Tamandua tetradactyla: one gene and its partners. The protein of the gene in region 2 purifies or fractionates together with the protein of the main gene of each other region. This does not show direct contact. Links are inferred from orthologs where the notes say so. Each region holds a gene or a part of one and is shown on either strand. Other genes may lie near its edges.

Region 1 (7,617 bases), about 44 Mb from region 2:
AAACTACAAAAATAACCATAACCTACTAAATATTTCACATTAAATGGGCATGATTAAAAAAGAATTCCAATAGGTGGTGGCTTTAAAAAAATAAGTTTCCCAGGACTGTCACTACATTACTATCAATAACTGGGTTCTGCAATCTCACAGCCAGCTAAGCGACAGAGAGATCAGTCTTGGTCAAAGGGGCTCTCTTTTACCATGTACCCTGTCACCTCCAGGGAATTTACAAGGAGTGGGAGGTGAGAAGGAAAACCTCCCTAGGCTACTGTGCTGCAAAATCCCAGGACCCACCCTGCTACCTTAGTCAGAGGCCAGAAGCAAAGCAGGAAAAATGTTCAGCTGACCTGGGTCATCTGTCATGATGGCTGGGAGCCACTCATCAGGTATAAACATCTGGGAGAATAAAAGTCCTCATCCCCTTCCCCAAATAAACCTACCCACAGGTCCTAAAAGAACTGGGTTCTACCACCCATAAATGGGCACTGCAGGCCGGCCCTTTCTTGGAATTCCTATGAGCCCTGGCTTTTGCTAAGCACAGAAGCACAGACACTACAACAGCCAAGGAACATCACCGCCCAAGTCACAGGATGCATCTCATCAAGCTCAAAGTCAAAAGGGGGTAGCTTCAAATACGTCCAAGTCATTTTCTACTTAGCTCCAAAACAAGTATTTTAAGTCAAACGCTGTATTACACATGGTGGAGAAGGCAGGCAGAACACAGCCGTAAACAAAGTTAACCACCAAAGTCAAGATGGGCAGGAAAGACAACTGATAAACGCAGCAGCTTCCAGCACCGAGCTGGGGTGGCCTCAGTCAGAGTCCCAGAGCCGGAGGCCACCACATACAGAAAGCAAGACTCAAAGTGAGCTGCATTCCAAAAGTCAAAACCCCCTACAGAAGATGGTTGGAGGAAACATTTTTCTTTAAATCCACAGAAAGATACCAGCAATCGTGTGCTAGTAAGACAATACACAGCGTGTGAAGCAACGATCCCTTCCTCCTGACATAGCAATGCTGGTGGTAGTTTTAAATCAGCATTCTATGGAAAAAAATATTATTTTTCAAATATTTTTGTAATTGCGCTTATAATTTCCTTTCTGCACCTGAGAAGCTATGGCCTGATTTACATTTTTCAGAGAGGATACGGGGGTCATGGGTGTGGATTTGTGTCTGGAGATGCATGTGCATTAGAGAGAAAAAGACCCTGCTGGTATCAGCATTCACTTCTGCCACCGGGAAATGGATCACAGGCTCTTCCCCAGAGCGGGGCCTTTCTCCCTACCAGGAGTCTTCGTCACAGACCCCCTTTGTAGTGTGGCATGATGCCCAGTTCCTCCGTCTCCTTTGTCTCCCAGTGTGTGAGAAACCCAGACTAACTTCTAAAGTGCTGTGCCCTGAAATCAGACCTCTCAGTATCCTTGGCAGCCATGGTCCAGGCCTGATTCCTGCTTAGAAATGTCTTCCTGAAAGGGAAGGGAAGGGAAGGAGGCGAGGAAGAAGAGGCATGAGATAGAGGGGGGTGTGTGTGTGTATGTCTGTGAATCACTGATAGGAATTCGCTCTCTGAAAAACAAGACATGAAAAGCCACCAAATCAACCTTGGCTCAAGGTTTCAGGTTTATGACGATAAACCTTTCGCTGTGTAAAACTGCTATATGCACCACCCTCACCCCAATAACATATGGGGATCTGATGTTTGCCTAACAGCCCTACACAAGAAAAATCCTCCAGGTTTCCCAATTGGTGGCTCTCTATAGTATTTTTCTCAAGAAGTCCAAATGTACTCAGGAGTCATCAATCCTGTGGAAGCTGTCACATTCTCCCCCAGTCTATTAATGTCGAGGTGCTGAATGTTAATGATTTTACTCCCAAAGTTCCCCGCAGCAATTAGATAAGGCAGTAAGGTCAACCATAAACAGCTCTGAATTTCTTCACCAGAACGAATCCGTGAATTCTGTAACCTAGTGAACTTCTCCGGTTTTTCCATCGGCCGTGATTTCCCCCTCGATCTCTGCTCTGGAACGCCCACAAGCCCTCCCCGCACCGACACCGCACGGCCTTCCTTTTGGATGCACAATGCGGTAGGTAGCTCCTTGGGGGTCAACAAAACGCCGCACTGGTGTAATGCCGAACGCGTCCCAGGGCCTGAGGCGCTCCCCGCGCCGCAGCCCGTCCTCGTCTCCGCTTCTGCCGCCGCCAAGACAGCACGGCACGGTATGAATGTCCCCTTCCAGCCGGGAAGCCCAGGGCCCGTCCCCGGCCAGCAGTGCACAGCTGGCGCGTGCTCCCGGGGCTGGTGCAATGACTTTGCACGGGCCCACTGCACCGGAGCGTACCCTTCGCTGAGGTTCGTCCTGCCCCCGCGGCCCACTGCAGCTGCACCATTCCGGGCGGCGCCTGGCACACCTACCCTGCCACGGCCTGGGGTTCAGGCAGCGGACTCCCCGCTTCCCGCGACCTCCAGCCAGGGGGCCCCCCGCTCCCAGCCGCCCGAGGCGACCCTCGCGCCCTTCGTGCTGCCTTCCCGCACCCCACCGCGGCGGCCACGCCTCGCTCTCCCCGCCGGTCGCCCCCAGCCCGCACCTTGGTCTCCTTCACATGCTGCTTGACGCCCTCCGGGTACCACTGGACGCGCACGTAGCCGCGGCGCAGCGGGCTGGCCCGGCCCTCCTCGTGGCCCGGGCCGCCGGCCTCGGAACACCCCGAGCTCCCGCGGCCCTCCTCCTCGCCCTCCGAGTCCGAGTCCTCGCCGTGGATGAGGCGCACCAGCCCGAAGTGCACCGATCCGCGGTAACGGCCCGACACCAGGTCGTGAGAGAACAGCAGGCGCTGCGAGCCGGCTTCGGGGCCGGAGTCCGAGGACCGCCCGGAGGCCGAATCCGGGGCGGGAGCCGGGGCTGGGGCGGGGACCGCGTCCGGGGCCGGGGCCGGAGCCGCGTCCGAGGCCGGAGCCGGGACTTGGGCGGCAGCTGGAGCTGCGGGCGCGGGGGCTGCGGGATCCGCCATAACTGCTCTGCGCGAGTCTCGGGCGGCGGCGGCAGCGGCGGCGGCGGCGGCGGCGGCGGCGGCAAACGAGGCATAGGGGGCGGGGTCAGTGGCGCCGGGGCGGGGCCACAGCGCGCTGACGTGGCCCTACGTGCCGCCGTCGTCAGGGAACCGAGATGCGGTTGCTAGGAGCGACCGCCTTGTCGCTAGGGGACGCTGGAGATGCTGCGGGGAGCCCGGGGCAGGGGGGGCGGGGCGGAGAAGCAGAGGAGGAAGGACGAAATCCACGAGGGAGGGGCGGGGCCGGAGGGGGAAAAGCAATGGGAGAGGGCCACTGAGGGAAAGGGGAGTGGCCGAGGTGGGAGGACGGTGGAGTCTGTCAACAACATTTAATGAGATCCCTTGGCGTCTTCAGCCTTGTCCTGGGCACTGTGAGAGAATAAAGAGAAAGATACTGTCCCTGTCCTCTAGGTGTTTACAATCTAGTTGGGGAGGTAAAACAAATATACATTAAATAGCTAAAAAGCAACCCCAAGACAGCTTGTAAGCAAGGCTATAATAGATAAGTAGAGTGTATCTAGAGTGTATTGTGTGTATTTGGTGATTTCAAGCAAAGCTTGGGAGGTCATGACCCCGTGATAGAACTGGTCCTGGAGAGTTGGTCAAGGGGCCCAGCGTAAGGACAGAAAGAGAAGTATCAGTGGCCCCTATGGTTTGGCTTTAGACCCAGTGAGATGAGTTCAAACCTTCTTAAAATAGCATGCCTGGCAAGAGGTAGCATAGCAAGGTGGTTAAGAGTGGAAGCTATAAATTCCAATTCTGCCCATTTCCACTTACTAATGTATAAAGGTAGGCAAGCTGATAAACTTCTTTTCACCTTAATTTTCTCGCCTGTAAAATACGGAGGATAATAGTAATAATTGTCTCATCAGTCAATTGGGAGGATTCAATGAGAGAGAACAGTGCCTGGCATGTAGCTTGCTCAATAAACCATTGCTACGTTTCAAAACACCCTGCCTAGACCAAAATTTTATATTGGCAGAACTGACACATTTATGGTCTGTTCCATATTGCCATTTAAATGTAAATATATTATATAATAGTATATATTATAATACTGATTTAACATGCCACCTAAGCAAATTACAAAAGATTTAGATACATTCTCAGAGGACAGATTCATGGGTTATTAAAAGGACATTATACTCAAGATATGGCCCTAACCTTTCTCAGTCAAAATCATTTTTTTTTAATTTTTTATTAATTAAAAAAAATTACAAGAAGCACAAACATTCCCAACACATACACTCAGCAATTCACAATATCATCACATAGTTGCATATTCATCATCACGATCATTTCCCATACATTTGCATCAATTCAGAAAAAGACATAAAAAGAAAACAGAAAAATAAAACAAAAACAGAAAAAAAAATTTTACATACCAAACCCCTTACCCCTCCCTTTCATTGGTCACTAGCATTTCAAACTAAATTTATTTTAACATTTGTTCCCCCTATTATTTATTTTTATTCCATATGTTCTACTCATCTGTTGACAAGGTAGATAAAAGGAGCATCAGACACAAGGTTTTCACAATCACACAGTCACATTGTGAAAGCTATATCATTGTACAATCATCATCAAGAAACATGGCTACTGGAACACAGCTCTACATTTTCAGGCAGTTCCCTCTAGCCTCTCCATTACATCTTGAATAACAAGATGATACCTACTTGATGCATAAGAATAACCTCCAGGATAACCTCTCGACTCTGTTTGGAATCTCTCAGCCATTGACACTTTGTCTCATTTCACTCTTCCCCCTTTTGGTTGAGAAGGTTTTCTCAATCCCTTGATGCTGAGTCTCAGCTCATTCTAGGGTTTTTCTCAATCCTTTGATGCTGAGTCTCAGCTCATTCTAGGATTTCTGTCCCACGTTGCCAGGAAGGTCCACACCCATGGGAGTCATGTCCCATGTAGAGAGGGGTAGGGTGGTGAGACTGCTCGTTGTGTTGACTGGAGAGAGGGGCCACATCTGAGCAACAAAAGAGGCTCTCTTGGGGGTGACTCTTAGGCCTAAATTTTAAGTAGACTTGACCTATCCTTTGCGGGGTTAAGTTTCATATGAACAAACCCCAAGACTGGGGGCTCTGCCTATACCTTTAGTTGTCCACACTGTTTGTGAGAATATCAAGAATTCAACTTGGGGAAGTTGAATTTCTCCCCGTTCTCACCACTCCCCAAAGGGGGCTTTGCAGATACTTTTCCACTCACTTTTGCAGATACTTTTCCACTCACAGTCAAAATCATTTTGTTCCACATTTTTCTGCAAGATCATCAATGACAGACTGGTAGGACGGTATGATTTTACAATATTTAGGTTCTCCATAAAGGTAGGGTCCCTCCCTTTGGGTAGTTTACAGTATGCTGGGGAGCAGAACTACACTTGGGAAAAGTTACAAGAACATGCCCAAGGCCCAGATGGCATGGGTATGCTTCGTGCAGACTGTGTATGTAAGCTGTTTTGGATTAAGAACTTATGGGGTATTGATGGATTGGGCTGGGGGTGGTTTTCAATGGACCAGATCTTTAAAAACTCATGTACGAAAGTTATAGGGAAAAAACTGAGGCTAAGTGAGCTGAAAGGGAGTTAGGCTAATATTTAGGGGTAAAGCTGGATTCTCAGCTCATTCTCAGCTTGTGGCCTTCCCCTCCAGACCACACATCACATAATTGACCGCGTGAAATTTCTGCTCCAAGGACACTGTTCCTCACTCTCTCTTTTGCCCCCATAAAGACCTGGGAGGCTTACCAGCAATAACCTAGAAGTTTCCATTCCACCTACCATGTCCCTTTAGCTTTGTCTCCTCGGCCTCTGATAATCTCACGTTTATTGAGCACCTGTAATTGACGAGGCACTGTGTTAAGCAGTTTCACATACATTATCATACTTATCACCGTCTTGCATGTAGATGCAAAAAACCCTATTTTACCAATGAGGAAGAGAGCCCCAGTAATTCAGTGCGGAGGTCACAAGCAGTGCCAAGATCAGAACCCAGATCCCTTGACTTCAAGTGCCGGGGCCCTTCCAGTTACCCGTTCCTCCAGATTTCCCTCTGAGGAGCTTCTGACTGCAGAGGAGAGAGTTCATGTATCCATGTGTGCCATGTGTGCCAAATAGGCTGAAGGACAGGGCAGTGCAGCCCCAGGCATCTTTATGTCAAAAATCCAAATGTGTTTGTTTGCGCTGGTTTGAAAGGAAGAATGCCCCCTAGAAAAGCCATGTTTTAATCAAAATCCCATTTCATAAAGGTAGAATAATCCCTATTCAATACTGTATGTTTGAAACTGTAATCAGATCATCACCCTGGATGATGTGATTTAGTCAAGAGTGGAGACGACATGTCTCCACCCATTTGGGTAGGTCTTGATTGGTTTATTGGAGTCCTATTAAAGGGGAAACGTTTTGGAGAATAAGAGATTCGGAGAGAGCAGAGAATGCTGCAGCACCACAAAGCAGTGTCCACTAGCCAGCAACTTTGGAGATAAAGAAGGAAAACACCTCCTGGGGAGCTTCATGAAACTGGAAGCAAGGAGAGGAAGCTAGCAGATGACGCCGTGTTCACCATGTGCCCTTTCAGCTGAGAGAGAAGTCCTGACTGGGTTCGCCATGTGTCTTCTCATCTGAGAGACAAACTTTGAATTTCATTGGCCTTCTTGAACCAAGGTATCTTTCCCTGGGTGCCTTTGATTGGACATTTCTATAGACTTGTTTTAATGGGGACATTTTCTCGGCCTTAGAACTGTAAACCAGCAACTTATTAAATTCCCCTTTTTAAAAGCCATTCGTTTCTGGTATATTGCATTCTGGCTGCTAGCAAACTAGAACATCGTTTTAACAAAAATAATGCCCTTTCCTCCCTAATTGCTCTATAAAACAGACTTCTTATAATGATGGCTAAGAAGAGCTACCATTTATTGAGCTGTATCTTTATGCCTGTACTATAAGAAGTGCTTGACATGGATTATCTTACCTGGTCTCACACAACCCTGTAAGGGAGGGAGGGATGATCCCCTTTGCATGAAGTTCCATGCCACGCTGCGTCCTGATCCCCGCCTCCAGGAGCCTGCCAGGTTGTAGGTGACAGTCCCTGAGTTCAAGGGCTGCCCTTTCCCTCACTGGAATGGGCTCCTTTTGAGCGCATGGACCAATCATTTTCAGGAGGGTAAACTCGATGCCTAGGACAGTGCCTGGCTCTGTATCGACACTCAGTAATGTGGCACATTGGTAGGTTTCAGAGCCCTGAGAGTTCTGTGCCTGTGTGGGCAGCCCCCTGCCTCCACACACCTAACCAGTTGAAGCTTGGGTTGGAGGGAGAGAAACCTTCTAGTCCTTCCTGCTGCTGGTCTCTAAACTCTTCACCTGCCCCCACTTCAAGCTGCATCTAAATCATTTTGGAGGTGTGGGGAGGGGGATCCTCAGTAAATTCCCCCCACTCTTCAGTGACCTCACTCAGACCAGGTTGTGGGCCCAGCCACTCTCTCTGCTTGCGCAGCCAGGCTGGCTGCTGCTGGAGCAAGGGTGGATGGAAGCGCCTGCTTAGTTTTTCCTTTTCATTATTGTTG
Region 2 (6,996 bases):
AGAACATTCTTTGTCAGTGAGGCCTAGGAACGCCTGAGACCTGGGTGCCCTGAACTGAGCTCTGGATTCTAAGAGCCCCCTCCTTTACAGGCCTCTAGTTTGTCTAGGTGTGTCCCTGCTTAATTCTCTCTCCTATGGACTCAGGCCTACCCTAACACTGGAGACAGCCCCTGCACAGAGGGAATGTATGAAGTCTTGGCCCAGCGATGGATTTGTCTGTGAGCTTTCTACCCATTATCCTAATTCCTCGTCCCACCCTGGATTTAGGCTGTGTTCTGGTCCCTGTTAGCATAGATTATTGAAAGCAATTTCCTACCCTTGATAATATTCCAATGCCTTGCTCCAGCCCCAAGTTTCCTCTGGACTTGATCTTCAGTCTTGATACCCTCTTCTCTGTGTATACATAAGCTGTGTGGTTCAAAACTGCTCCTCTGCCATCTCTCTTGAATGTCTGAGGTGGGCATCACTGCTCCCTAATATGTGTCTCTCTTCCCTGGGCCACATGACCTTCTTGAGTCACTTCCTAAGTGTTCCTGCCTAAGAGTGCCACCACTGATCTCAAAGATGCCTGCCCACCCAGCTGGGGAATCCCTTCCAACACCTTCCTGGCTCACCTCTGTGACCTTGGACAAATCATGTGCAAACTTTCTAAGCTGAGGTTTCCTTATCTCCAAAATACATAGAAGAGCCCTTCCAGCTCTAAGTGACCAAAGTTCTTCTACTCACATATGGAATCCAAGGGCCCCCTTTTCTCCCCAGGCCCTAGGGTATTTGCTATCCAGGTCCATCCTATTACACCTCTTCCCCTACTCCAGGGGTGGGGTGGATCGGCCCTTGGAAAAAAGCAGAGCAGTCTGTCTCCACAGAAACTACAACTTCCATCAGGCACTGCTTCAGCAGAACAGGAAAGGATGTGGGGGCGGACTCCAGTGTCCTAGGAGCTCCGGAGACAAACTACAACTCCCAGGAAAGAGTGAAACCTCAGCTGCTCAAACGAGGGAAAAGCACTCTGACCCGAGCCGGGGCCTGGCGGGAACCTTCCCGGAAAGCCTCCCCCCGAAAGGGCGTGGTCGTACCTGTGGGCGGGGCCATGGGAGCAAGAGGAAGAAGTTACCTGTTGGATTGTTCTATCCACCTTCTTCCCCACTCTACCCCTAAGAGGGAAGCCGCAGATCATAAGCCTCTCCCGAAAAGAGGTAAAGGGACGTAGCCAAAGGAAATCGTGGGGTCGCGGCAGAGACTGGCTATTGCATCCTGTAGGAGGGACCCAACAGCCACTTTCTACCTGCTCAGTCAGGTGAACCGGCCCTTAGGGGCGGGGAGCTGCGTGAAGGAAGGGCAAAGACGGAGGAGGTATTTATTTGTTCGTTTTGAAGACTATATTTGGAGCCCCAGTTGCAGTTGGGTCTGGGGCCCTCGCTCAATCTCGGGAAGAAGGAAGAACACAGGCGACTTCTCCGCAACAGAGCAAAGGCGGGTCTGGGCTGCCGTGTTTTCCTTAGCCAAAAAAAACGTTAGAGCTCCATGACTTCCGCGGTCTGGGGGGGTGCCGCCTGGTGGGGCCCACCGCCCCCGGCGCCAGCCCGGCCGCTCACCGACATCGACTTCTGCTCCGGGGCGCAGCTTCAGGAACTGACCCAACTGATTCAGGAGCTGGGGGTGCAGGAAAGCTGGAATAACGGGCCCAAGCCGGGGCCAGACCTCCTCCGGGCCAAGGACTTTGTCTTCTCTTTGCTTGGTAAGTAACACTCCTAGCCTCCGTACCCGCCCCGGCTTTGGGCCACGCCCCCACGATCCCTTCTCTTCCCTTAGGCCTCGTTCACCGCCGGGACCCCCGCTTTCCTCCCTTGGCAGAGCTCTTGCTACTTCACGGCGGGATTCGCGAGGGCTCCCTTGATCTGGGACCTGCACCTCTGGGTCCCTATGCCCGGGGACCTCACTACGACGCCGGCTTCACGCTTCTGGTGCCGGTATTTTTGCTGGACGGCACTGGGCCCGAGCTGCAACTGGATCTGGAATCCTGTTACGCACGGCTCCGCCTCCCCGAGTTGAAGCGCGGATCCTCAATCCGGGAAGCGTGGCAGGATTGCCTGGAACCTACGATTCCAGAAGGACGTGATTGGATCCCTCAAACCGAGAAAGAAGGAAGTTCCAAGGATCGGGAAAGCTCCGCGGACCAGCCGCACAGTAACCTCACTGTGCCTGAGCCTCACGTGTCTTTGGAAGAATCACCTAGTGACGTTCCAAAGCCGGAGGTTCCTCAGAGTGACATCATCGATCTTGATTCTCCCACATCTTTGAAGAAACTATGTGCTGACGTCACCAAGCTAGCTGTCGAATGTCGAGTCCCACAGCTGTCCGAGGAATGGGAGGCGTGGCCTACATTGTCCCCCGCCCAAGTTGCTGCCTGGTTCTTTGCTTCTCTGGCCGCGGTCGCCGAGACCCTGATTCCAATCCCAGGCTCTCCGCGCCTGGTGCACGCAGCCCGCCACGCGGGATTCACTACCATCCTCCTGGCCACTCCCGGTCCCCCGCGCCGCCTACTGCTCTTCGACCTGGTCCCCGTGGTGTCTGTGGCCGGCTGGCCCGAGGGGGCTCGGAACCACTCGTGGGCAGGCCCGCTGGCCTCCGGGCCCTCCTCCTTCTACCTGGTGCCCGGCGGCGTCACAGAGCGATTGGGCGCCTCTGGCTGGCAGCTCTGCTTCGCTCGCCAGGAGCTGGCGCTCAAGGCGCGCATACCGGCTCCGCTGCTGCAGGCGCACGCGGCGGCCCAGGCGCTGCTGCGCCCGCTGGTGGCCGGGACCCGGGCGGCGGTGCCCTACCTGCTGCGGATGCTGCTCTACTGGGCGTGCGAGCGGCTGCCCGCGCTCTACCTGGCGCGACCTGAGAACGCCGGCGCCTGCTGCCTGGGGCTGCTGGACGAGCTGAGCCGCGTGCTCGAAGCCGGGGCCTTGCCCCACTATTTTCTGAATGGCCGAAAGCTCCTGGCGGGGGACTTCGCTGCCGGGCTGCTACCGGAGTTGGCCCGACTCCGCGGGGACCCTGCTGGGGCTCTGCGGGCCGCGGTGGAGGAGGCCAAGGCTGCACGCAAGGGGGGCGGCTTGGCGGGCGTGGGGGGCGGGACCCATTAAAGAGTCAGCTCCTGTCAGCATGGAAAGTGCTTCTTCTGGGAAGTGGAATGCTGAGGGCTCTGGCCAGGCGCCTCTCCCGGGAGAAAGACTGAAGACCCCATTCTACAAGTCCTCGTGGTCGGTTCCTCCCAATATCCCCGCCCCCAGTCATTCATTCCGGCCTTTCCGCTCTCCAAATATGACGCCAGCTCCTCTTCGGCTCCAGTGCAGGCCCCCGCAATCTTCTTTCCCCAATAATTCCGGACTTTTCTCTTAGAAGTCAGTAGAGAAGGGGGAAATATATTTGCTGACAAAACGCGGAAAGGCGAGGTTTGGAGACTGGAAATTAACCGGTTTGATTCACACACCAGCGGGCATTTTAAAGAGGCCAGACTGCACCCCAGACTCGATCTCACTACTAACACCATCTCTCCAGTTATCCCCTTCTCCTCAACCAGTCCAGCCCTCACTCCATCCTGGGCAGCAGGGATCCCTCCTTTCTGTTCTTGAGGCGTCAACCATTCTGTCTTAAGCCCAACCATTCCCCCACCCACCCTCAACCAGTCCAGCCCTCACTCCATCCTGGGCAGCAGGGATCCCTCCTTTCTGTTCTTGAGGCGTCAACCATTCTGTCTTAAGCCCAACCATTCCCCCACCCAGAGTTTCGTTCATGGAATCGCCTCCCTATTCCTCCTCCTCCCAGCCGCCGCTCCGTCCTCACGTCCCGCCTCCAAGGAACCCCGGGGTTCCGCCGGCCCAGCTTCTCCCCCACCCCCACATTCCCGGCGTCTCCGCCCCCTGCCCCGCCCCCGGGAGGAGGGGGAGTTGCTGTCGCCGCCGCTGCCTCGGCTTTCCACTGCTGCTGCCGCTGCCGCTGCCGCCGCTGCGCCGGGTCCAGCCGCCAGGCCCAGGGCTCTGACTTCGCCGGACCAGGGTGCTTTGCCGAGACGCCCTCTCCTTCTTGGGGGTCCGGGGCATCCAGCCGGGTGCCGGGGAAAAGCCTGGCTTGCGGGGGACGGGGAGGGAGGAGCCTGGAGCCGGAGCCAGCGCCACCCGTCTCCGGATCAACAGGACAGGACAGGTTGAGGGGCGTCGGGAAGGAAGAGGCGATATCGGGGAGGAAGCCGAATCGGAGGAAGCGCAGAGTGATTGCTCTCACTAGGAGGGGGCCTGTTCACATCTGGGGACTGGTGACAACGTGGGTGCACTCCGCTCTGGGATGGGGGGTGGGGGTGGCTGGGTTGGAGGCTGTGGGAGCTAAACAGCACCAGCTGTCCCCGAGGAAATTTAAGGGGCAGGCAGAAAAAAAGGGACCCTCCTTATTCGAGGTGATAGAGGGTCCTGTGGAAAACCACCTGGTGTTTCCGTTAGGAAGGGTGGTTTTGGAGGTGACTTGGAAAGGAGTGGAGGGTGACAAGGTGAGAAAAGGGCTCATTAGCTGGAACCCTGGCCCACTAAAAGTGGGGGTAATGGTGAAAAAAGGTACCGTCTAGCGAGAAGGCCTGGAAACTTCTCACGCATCAGAACGGCCTGGCAATTCTAAGACATAGGTTTTGGGGATTTCAGCGAAAAAAGTGGGGGATCCTCTCCATTTAGAGGGTGGCAAAAGAAAAGAAAACCAAGGTTGGATTCCTTCCTGACACTGGACAGCTCCCCAGAAGGAGGTGAGGCAACCTAATATCCCTAAAGCTAAGAATCCACACTCTTTAGATTCCAGGAGTGGATTTGGTAGGGGAGCAGAGCCCCGAAATAGGGTGGAGAGCTGCCTGGGGCTATTGGAACCAAATCTTGGAAATTTTGGGGGTCTTGGTTTTGGGAGAGGGGAATCAGGGACAGCCACACTGGAGAACAGGGAAGGGAGAATTTTCAGTAGGTGGCAAAATTCGAGGCTGGGGTCAACTGAGGGGGGAGCAGGCTGCTGGGTCAGGAGGCGCCAGCCGGGCCCAAGGATTGGAGCTGGCAACTGTGGGGGTCTTAGCCTCAGGTCCTGTGGGTGGGACGGTGAGTCTGGGGGCCCGAGCAGCAAGAGCATGCCCTAGTGAGAGGGCTTCTCTGGGGGAGCCCCTTGCCCTCCTGGCGCCTGCCGGTTTGGGGGTATCTCCTCCCGGGGCGCCATGGCGGCGCTGGCCAGTAGCCTGATCCGGCAGAAGCGGGAGGTCCGCGAGCCTGGAGGCAGCCGGCCCGTGTCGGCACAGCGGCGTGTGTGTCCCCGCGGCACCAAGTCCCTTTGCCAGAAGCAGCTTCTCATCCTGCTGTCCAAGGTGCGACTATGCGGGGGGCGGCCCTCGCGGCCAGACCGCGGCCCAGGTGAGTGCGGCTGGGGCTGGGTCTCTCGGCCAGGGGGTCTCTGTCCAGGGGCTGAGACCAGGGACTCTGTCTGAAGAGTGGGACCCAGCTGTAGGGGACTCCCGGAGAGTGGGTGGGCCTGGGCGACAAAGTCCCAGCCTATCAGACTATGCCTCAGTTTCCTTTCTTATTTCCCGTAACCCAGACTCTCCTCCCTTTCGAGTAAGGGGAGAGCTTGAGGGGCTTAGTCTAGCGCCCCGAAGTTTCGCAACCCCTGCCCCCACCCCCCACCCCCGATATGGAATCCCCACCCCCACCATCCTCCGCCTACGTGCCGACTCTCGCGATCCTTTCAATCCCGAGCGGAGGGGGCTGGGGGCTCTGTACGCCTGGGTCACCCCGAGGATTTCTGCGGCTCCGGCCGCCCCGCCCCCGCCGCGGTTCTCCCGCCCTCCACGCCTTGGCTTGATTCCTCCCGGTCGAGTTCGCCTGGCTCAGGGCCAATCTCCCCAGCTCTCCCCCGGGTGTCCTTGCAGCTATTTCGCCAGACCGCCCCTCTGTGCGCCCTCCTCCCAAGACCAGCGTTTCTAGAAGGGAGCTGGGGACCCCCCCCCCATTACCCCCCATTCCTCCTCGCGAGACTCCGAAATCGGGTCCTACTGGCTCAGAGGACCCTCTGCCCGGAGGAACTCAGGCACATTAACGGGGCTGGAGGGGGCATGGAGACTGGGGGGTCGTACCACCTACAAAGCGGGGGACAGGGGAGTCTCGGAGAGCAAGCGACCAGAAAGAGTTGTCAGTATCAGCATGTGATCCCCGTCCAGGTACGACAGGCAGGGAGTCCCTTTGGCCCCACTCCCGCCGGCTCTCAGCTCCCCTGGGGGTGGCCCCCTCGAGCCCCCCCCCCCCCCGCCCTCCGCCCACCCTCCGTCAGCGGCCTTCAGCAGTGGTATGGTCCGTAGCCCACCCTCTGAGAGGGGACCCGGCCCCCACGTGACTCAGCCTGCCTCTCTATCTCCCTGGTCCCCCTCCCCCATCTCTTTGATATGGTACTGAATGCCCCCGCCCCACCCCAGGCGGGTTACCTGGATGAAGGGGAGAGGCTGAGCCTCAGAGAGGGCTGCCCCCCCCTCCCCCCCCCCCCCCCCCCCCCCCCCCCCCCGCGAGCCAGCAGACTGACAAACAGACAGACAGCCAGATGGACCAGTGTCAGACAGTCCGGCTCTGGGCCAGGCCCAGGCCTGAGCCAAGCGGGCAGCAATGCAGCAGCAGGTGCTGAGTCAGCACTGGGCTCTGTACCACCCCCACTCCTTTGGGGGAGCCCCTACCCTGTGGCCACCTTATGGCCCTCCCACCCACCCACACGCATTGGCAAATACATGCCCCTTCAGCAGCTCTGCCTGTCTCTTTCTCTCCTCTGCCTTTTGATATATCTCTTTTCCTTCTCCCTCCTTCCCTTCCCCCCCTTCTGATTGCGCTGTGGAGTAGGAATTAAACCATTTAAATAAATTTCAATAAATTAAACTGAAAGCTTATAGTTAGAGGAAGCAGAAGGGACTCACACTGAGCTTTCTCTGAAGCCAAAGAGGGTAAGAGAGCT
Region 3 (7,379 bases), on a different chromosome or scaffold from region 2:
TTTCCTTCCTATTTATATTGTCTATACCTTCTGTACTCTAAGCCATCTCAGATGCTCTTAAAAACAGGAAAATATACCAGATATAAACAGACTTTTTTTTAAAGGCACACTTGCTATTTAGCTCCCAACATGTTCCTATCTCTACCTATTTCAAATAACAACTTATTTGTCAGATAAGGAAACTGCGGCACAGAAACTAATTTACTTAGGAACCTACTTAGTTGGCTTCTTGACAGCTAGATGGATCCTTGAATCAAACCAACAAGCCCTGTTACCTCAACAGCACTGTACTAGACCCCAGGGGCATATAAAACTGAGCAAATCATGATTATAGCAAAAGAATCCAGCTATCAATGCTTTTAATTGCAGGATATTCACTCTACCTAAATGAAGGCAGACAAGGTGAATTAACAAGAAAGCTCCTCTGAGATATGACCTGATTAAGGACCATCAAGGTCACCCTCAAGTAACCTGTACCCTCTCACTGGCCCCAGCAATGACCTCATTTCCTGAATGGCCTCAGGGTCTGGAATTATTCAAGAATTACTTGGTCTAAAGTCAAACTGCAATCCTCACAGGTGAGAGGCCCTTTTCTCATACCATTCAGTACCTGGCCAGGTTACTTTTTTTCCTTTTATTTTTCCCATGCTTTCTCACATCATCAACACACAGCAGAAGTAGACAAGTTACCTGAATCATAATGTCCAACTCAGCTGAAATTCTGAAAAACAAATTACCAAGGACTTGCTATGTGACCTTGAACTAGTACTCAACTGACCCATTAACTAAATAAATGGATTTCATCATCACCAGAGAAAGAGTAATTAGTCATTATAAAGCACTTTACTACAAAGTGCTGTGTAAATGCTAAACAATAAAGCTCAGAAAAAGTAAAACTAAAAACACAGGGGCACATTTACCAGCAAATGGTAACTCACAGCAGGGTCTTATCACATCCCCGGCAGAGACTGCTTCTTTCAACTAACGGAATACGAGTCTCTAATCATTAGCACTTGGCCTGACAAAAATACACATTAGTAATATTCCTCCTGGGAAGAGAGGAGGAATAGACAACCCTACTGACATCTCAGTTAATAGTTAGCCAAGCGGGCAATTAATAATTGAGTACTTCCTATAAGCTAGATACAGTACTGAGCACAATGGATTCAATGGTGAATGAGAGTCCTTGTCTTTATGAAAGTTTACAATCCATAATGCAAACTTTGTCTTATCAACAGTGGCACTGACAAGTAAGAATAAAGGTTTACTAAAAAAGGTAAGAATAAAGACACCCCAAACCCTGAAATGACTAGAAAATGGGGGGTGTGTGGGGGGGAAGAGTTCAGGGAATTAAGCATTTTCTCATTTTCCCCCTAACTCACCTAAGGTACTACTCACAAGAATTTTGCTTGAAAGAGCTGTGACTGTTTCTTCAAAGAACAGTGCAGAATACAAATACAGCCCCAACAAAGTAATCTGCTGAACTGAGAGCTCTAAAAATAAGGTTAATTACTCCTTAAAGTCAAGGGATCTTCAATATTTTAAAGACATTCTGTTGTTAAGATTTCAAGTTTTAGAGAAAACAAAGATAAAGTGCACTATGGTGACTTGTCTTTTCAATTTTGCATTTGCTTTCTGGAGTAGTAGATTAAATTTCTTTCTTTTTTTTTAAAGCCATGTTTCCAACTCAAGGTAGTTTAACTAGTTCAGGTGTAGGAGCCTTAAGAACTGTAACTATTCCTGCAAAACTTGAGCACTGCTTTCTATCAAACACTGCAGGCAGAGATAGCCTTGAAACACTCTCTTTATACTAGACTGAAATATTTATCCGGGTTCTCACTGGCTTCAGAAAGGTCACCTCTTTGCAAAGGTTCTCTGATCGACTGTTAACCAGGTGATGGGCATGAGTAAAGTCAAGATGAAGTTGTCAGCAAATGATCAGAAAGCTCTGGGGATCCCAATTCTATCATTCAAAGCGCTATTTAGACTACAACCTCCAAACGTTCCCATGTAGTCTTCCACAACAATAGAATAAGAGTGTCCTTTGAGCTCAACCCACGGTACAATAGACTAAACTTGTTCTGCCTTAATAAGTGCAGTAAAGAATGAGCAATCCTTCCCTACCACCCACCCCTCCAACCCACCCAAGCTCCTTTTTCAAGGGATGCCTAAGTGGTCTATTCACATGACTCCTGGATCAACCTGCATCCATGACAGTGTCTGCTGTCACTAACCTCCAAATGCTAATTTCTTACAGCTGTTGAAGCAACTGGAAGACCGCCGAAGGTGAAAATTAGAGTTTTCTTTTCAATCTCACACCGCCCTCATTGCCTTTATCTGCATAAAAAGAGCTGGGTCCACGCATTCTTTTCTCTTGTTATCACGCAGTTGCTGGATAAATCGGACCCTGATCCCTAAGATTCACCCAAAGAAGTGCTGCCAGATTTACACACTCACCTGAAGGGGGATTTTCTGCACCCCCCTCAACCCCCTCCCTCGGCCTGGTCAGAAGGGCCAGCTGAATTGATTCACTCCCTCCCACACCTGTCTTCGAGGCCTTTCGTCCTGGAAAAGTCAGCCGCAAATTTAAGACCCGGTCCTGTCGGGTCTCAAAAAGATCTCGGAGGACTACGGCCGAGGAACAAAGGAAAACGAAGTCAGGGGCGGCCTTTCCAGCCCGGGATGGGCCTGGGGCCGCTCACCGCTACCTCCCACACAACCTCAGCTGTCCGCGATCACCCGGAACCCTCTCCCCTAAAGTCCCGAACTAGCCGGAGCCCGGGCTGGCACTCGCTCGCGCCCCTTCCGCGAGGCCCAGGTCCCCGCTTGCACCCAGAGCCCCCGCACCTTCTTGGGCGCCTTGGTGACGGTGGCCATGAAGGAGTACTTCTCGGCGTCCTCGATCTCCTTGGCCTGCTTCAGCTCCTCCCCGACTCCGGGCAGCGGCATCGCGTCAGGCATCGACATCCCCCGGCCGGCCCGGCCCGTGGCTGACCCACCGCCCCCGCCTCCTTCCTCCGCGGGCGCCCGCCCGCCCGGCCGCCCGCACTGCGCCCTCCGACACGCGCTCGCCCACCCTCCCACCCGGTCCCACGCCGGGCTGCGTTCGGTTCTGAGGTGCTTTGGCCAGCGCCTCGTCCGCCGGGCAGTCTAACAGAGCGCGACAGCGACGGCGGCAGAAGGAACACCACAAGCAGCCGCGCGAAGCTCCGATCGGCCCGCGCCGCCACCTCCGACACACGCAGACACGCACGCAAAGTAAGGGCAGAGGGCGGTGACGCCACGACAAGTACTGGCAGCTCCGGGGAGGGGGAAGAGGCGGGGAGAAAGGGCGCGCTGTCGTGACGTCATCACGCTGGATTTGGATGCCGAAGCCTTCCCTCCTCGGTGGGGCTCTTAGGTGTACCAGGGTGAGCAGGACCCTTTGCGCCGCCAGATGGCGCCATCAGCCCTGCGAGCGACGTGTAATTCTTGCAAGGGTGACGTGGGGTGGAGGGTCTCTGGGCTGCAGGATTCCGGGCGACGTCTCTGAGAGGAGTAGGAGGGATACCTAGCAGAAAAGGCATGAACCCCAAAAGACACATTCTACGGCCATTCCTAGGAATAATCTGGGGCGCGGGACAGCCTACTCTGCCCAGTTTCTTTTGGACCAGAATTACCCTCTCCAAGGGCGGTGATGGCTCCTTCCATCACCCCATAGGGATTGGTCATAAGAAACTTTGGACAGTCTGATTTGTGTACTGTCCTTTCTGACCTCTTCCACCATTGTCCGCCTGGGTCTTACCTGTTTACGCGATCTCCAGGCCACAGAGGTGATTTCGCTGAAGTGGCCATTAGAATATCAGCTGATGGGTCCGCAGAGGGTCCCTGGCCTGAATGTTTTCCTCCTCGGTGTTCACCAAGCATTAGGCTCTGCTAGCTCTCGGTGGGCGCCCAGGGCACACGTGTGCCATTTGCACATTTTTACTGGGCCTTATCCTGTGCCAAGGCCCTGGAATGCAAAGATGAGTGTGACATTTTATGTTTTGCAAGGCTCAGTCTAGAGGGATAGACAGAGCCTGAATGGATCTGACATGTCAGCTAAGGTAGCTTGTCCTTTGAGATTCAAACTACATTGGCTACTGTGGAAAGTCCAATGTCCTCCCTGAAATTTTTGTGAATTACTGGGGGAACTTACATTTTCATGGTCAAGTCTGGCTCCAGTTTTCTGTCTTCTCTGAAGTTTTATTCATTATCCTGATCATGTGACTGCTTCTTTGACTCTTGCTGTCAATTCAGATATAGAACACAGCTTTTGTTCCTTTCAACCCCCACCCCTATCCCAAAGCAGACACAAAAATAAAGTTGTAACATGTAACAGAATTTTTAGCAAAGGTTTGTGGGTCACAGGGGAGAGGTTACATCACACAGTCAACAATTTAAAATCACATTTCTGAAATGTCCTGAGAAGTTATTTTGGCTATTTTGACACCCGGGATTTCTCACTGGCCACACTATTCTGCAAAGTTCCGTAGCCATTGCCATCTAATTTAACTCCCTCCTGTTTACTCCCCCCCATCCCTCTATCTCACCCTTTCTTTTCTGATTGACTCTGGGAAACCCGATTTTTCTCAACTATGCTGAGCAATGTGAGTCTTCTGGTGCCTTTCCCCTAAATTCCTCTCTGAATCCACCTTTTTATTTCCAGAAACCCACCGAGCCTTTAACAGGATCAATAATTCCAAGAAAGAAGTTATGGTTTGAAATAACATTTTTTCCACTGGTGTGTGCAATACTCTCCACTGGGTGCCCTGAAGTCTTAGTCGGAGAAGCCCACATTCTAACCATCCAGCTTGATGAGGCTCTTTGTTTGAAGTGGGCTGTGGAAGTGCCTAGAAGAAGGCAGACTTCTGCAGATCCCGGTTTTGAGCTTTTAGATAGATTCTCTTACATGCTTCTCTCATTGGCCCAGCCTTCAGAGCACCCAGACACCCCTTTCAGGGGCATTTTTCTAGCAGAAGGGCTTAGAGACAGAGGACCAGAATGTCAGATTCATCCATAAGCATGCCAGACTGTCATTTTTCTCCTCATCTCCCAGGTAGAGCCAAGAATCACACCAGCCTCACCCACAACTCTTTAAGGCCCGCAGTAGCTTTCAAGCTGTGGATTTGCCTGAATTGTTATCAGAGCCCAGGGATCAGAGATGCCCGCTTAAAGAACAGAGGCAGAGCCAGTTAGAACCAGGGATGAAAATTCCAAGTCCCTCGAATAGAAAGACACGCAACTTAGGATAGCTTATTCAAATTAAATTATTAAATTAAAAAGCATAGATGTGTCTATCTTTTGGATTTGATTTTGAAAACTTCCATTATCCAAAAGCTTCATCTTTCAGTTCCCCAGTTCAGCTATGCATCATGGCAGTCAGGTGGTGAGATTCAACCTTTCTTTGCCTCCTCCTAGACCAAAGTAACAGGCTTCCCCTCACACCGGTCTCCCAGCGTTGTCTGCACCACTGCTGCCGCTGAGGAGGGTGGAGCCTTGGGCCAGGACCAGAGGAGGCCATGCCTGAGCAGCTGGGGCCAAGAAGCTAGCAGCATGTCATTCTCCACTCACCTGAGACTGGGCCCGAGGAGAGGCTTGGTGGGTGAGGCTGATCTAAGGGAGCTGGGGGTACTTAGGCTGAAAGGCGGGAGGGGCAGCCCTCCCTGCCCTGGTGGAAGGGTAGCAGGCCTGTACGGTTCATGGCAGGCCAGGACCCAGAGGCGTTCTTGGCAACCTACCTGTTGCTGAGGACATGGGTGGCTGCCTGTCCTCCCCTCCCCACTCCCCATGTGTGGGCCAGAGATCAAAGAGCCCACCCAGCCGAGGAGTGCAGCGACATCACATTGATGAAGGCCATAGCGTGCTACCCCCACCACTCCGAAAATGGTTCCACGCAGCCCAGCTAAGGGGGGGGTCGCCTCACATGGATGTCAAGGAATGAGTGGTCTTCTGTCCATCTGCCCACCTCACTCAGAGTCTCTGCAAGCAGGCCCACCCTTCTGAACAGCTCAGTCCCACTCAGCTGATAGAGCTGTCCAGGGGCCAGAAAAGCAGAGACCCAAGGACAGGTACACCTGGTGTGTGTGGTGTGGTGAGGAAGTCTCCAAAGGGCCTGGACACCAAAGGGGACCCTGTTCTGGACAGGGGTGGGAGGAGGGGGTGGGAGATGCTGCCACCAGAAATGTAGTGGCCCTGCGGCCCCGCAGGTGAGCTTGGTATATGTGATCCATTTCACTCTTCTGTCCTCCTTCGCATTTACCCTCCACATTCACTTATTTGTTCGTTTATTCGTAAAATATATATTGACTGCTGAAGATGTTTCAGGAGCAGCACTCAATGTTGGGACTTAACAGAGAAAAATGCGACGAAGGCTTGATCTCTACCTGGAGTTGGGAGGGGGACTTCATAGAGGGAGATGCTGTCTGAGCTGACGCTTGAAAGCTAAGCAGCTGGACAAGGTAGGGGGGATTGCCAGGGTGAACGATCAGCAGGAGAAAAGGCAGGGCTATTGAAACGTCTTGCCATGATCTGGGAACTTGGTATGTGTTTCAGTGCAGGTGGGGCCCAGAGTGCAAAGTGGGGCAGAGGGAGCGATGAAGCCGAGGTCAGCTCACACAGGGCCCGGTGAGCTGTGGGTGCACGGGGGTGCCGTCCGCTGTGTTTGGAGGAGAAGCAGATCTGGGCGAAGGGACCACTGCGATAAGGAGCCAGCTTGAGTGGAGTTTGATACCTCTGCGGGGGCTGGGGGTGGGGGCACCGTCTCGGAGTCCCAGGGAGCCCAGGTTTTTGCCTTTCACAGCCGTCTGCTCCCTGCCAGCCTGACACCCTACCAGAGAGGGGCTTCGCTCTCCTGTGGGCCCTTCCCCTCCTCCAGGCCAGGCCCTCGTCAGCTACCAGATGAACAGTGCGGACACACTGCAGGAGGTCGTGGGTGACCGCGGCAGCATGGACACGGGCGAATGGCCCCACAGCGCTGCCTCCAGAACTCTGGGGTGGGCGTGTCCCCCTCTACATCCCAGGCTTCTCTCTGCCCCACCACTGCCAAGTTGCACAAATCTGGGAGGCATCACTGACATTGTCATCAACGTGAGGCGTGCCCCTGGAACGCAACTCCAAATTGGTAATCTGCCCCTCTGGCTCGAAGGAAAGCCCTGGGGAGGGCTGCCAGGCCCAGCTCTGGGCACTCACTCCCCAGACAGGCTGGATTCCTCCTTGCCACTGAGCTCCTTCCCCTCCCTTCTCTGTTGTTCCAGCCCTTGGGAGAAAATGGGCAGTCCCCTGAGACTGGGAAAGACTCTGTCTCCTCCTCTGCTTGTTTTTAATCACATTATTGTAATTATTTTGAATTTCCTTCTATT

The links.
Region 1: the proteins of FGF11 (region 2) and UBE2O purify together in Homo sapiens (affinity purification with mass spectrometry; 3 studies listed by BioGRID and IntAct, with this or other methods). This does not show direct contact. The link is inferred for Tamandua tetradactyla from reciprocal best matches to the Homo sapiens genes FGF11 and UBE2O.
Region 3: the proteins of FGF11 (region 2) and AHCYL1 purify together in Homo sapiens (affinity purification with mass spectrometry; 3 studies listed by BioGRID and IntAct, with this or other methods). This does not show direct contact. The link is inferred for Tamandua tetradactyla from reciprocal best matches to the Homo sapiens genes FGF11 and AHCYL1.

What each region holds. Positions count from the first base shown.
Region 1 is NC_135332.1:17,351,442-17,359,058, forward strand, and holds the start of UBE2O ((E3-independent) E2 ubiquitin-conjugating enzyme), read right to left. Parts: upstream 3,010-7,617; coding exon 2,587-3,009; intron 1-2,586. UniProt on the Homo sapiens protein: E2/E3 hybrid ubiquitin-protein ligase that displays both E2 and E3 ligase activities and mediates monoubiquitination of target proteins. Negatively regulates TRAF6-mediated NF-kappa-B activation independently of its E2 activity.
Region 2 is NC_135332.1:61,285,985-61,292,980, forward strand, and holds the start of FGF11 (fibroblast growth factor 11), read left to right. Parts: upstream 1-3,980; 5' UTR 3,981-5,224; coding exon 5,225-5,417; intron 5,418-6,996. Other genes in the region: TMEM102 (transmembrane protein 102), read left to right, coding at 1,525-1,738, 1,813-3,131.
Region 3 is NC_135337.1:12,940,443-12,947,821, forward strand, and holds the start of AHCYL1 (S-adenosylhomocysteine hydrolase-like protein 1), read right to left. Parts: upstream 3,013-7,379; 5' UTR 2,968-3,012; coding exon 2,848-2,967; intron 1-2,847. UniProt on the Homo sapiens protein: Multifaceted cellular regulator which coordinates several essential cellular functions including regulation of epithelial HCO3(-) and fluid secretion, mRNA processing and DNA replication.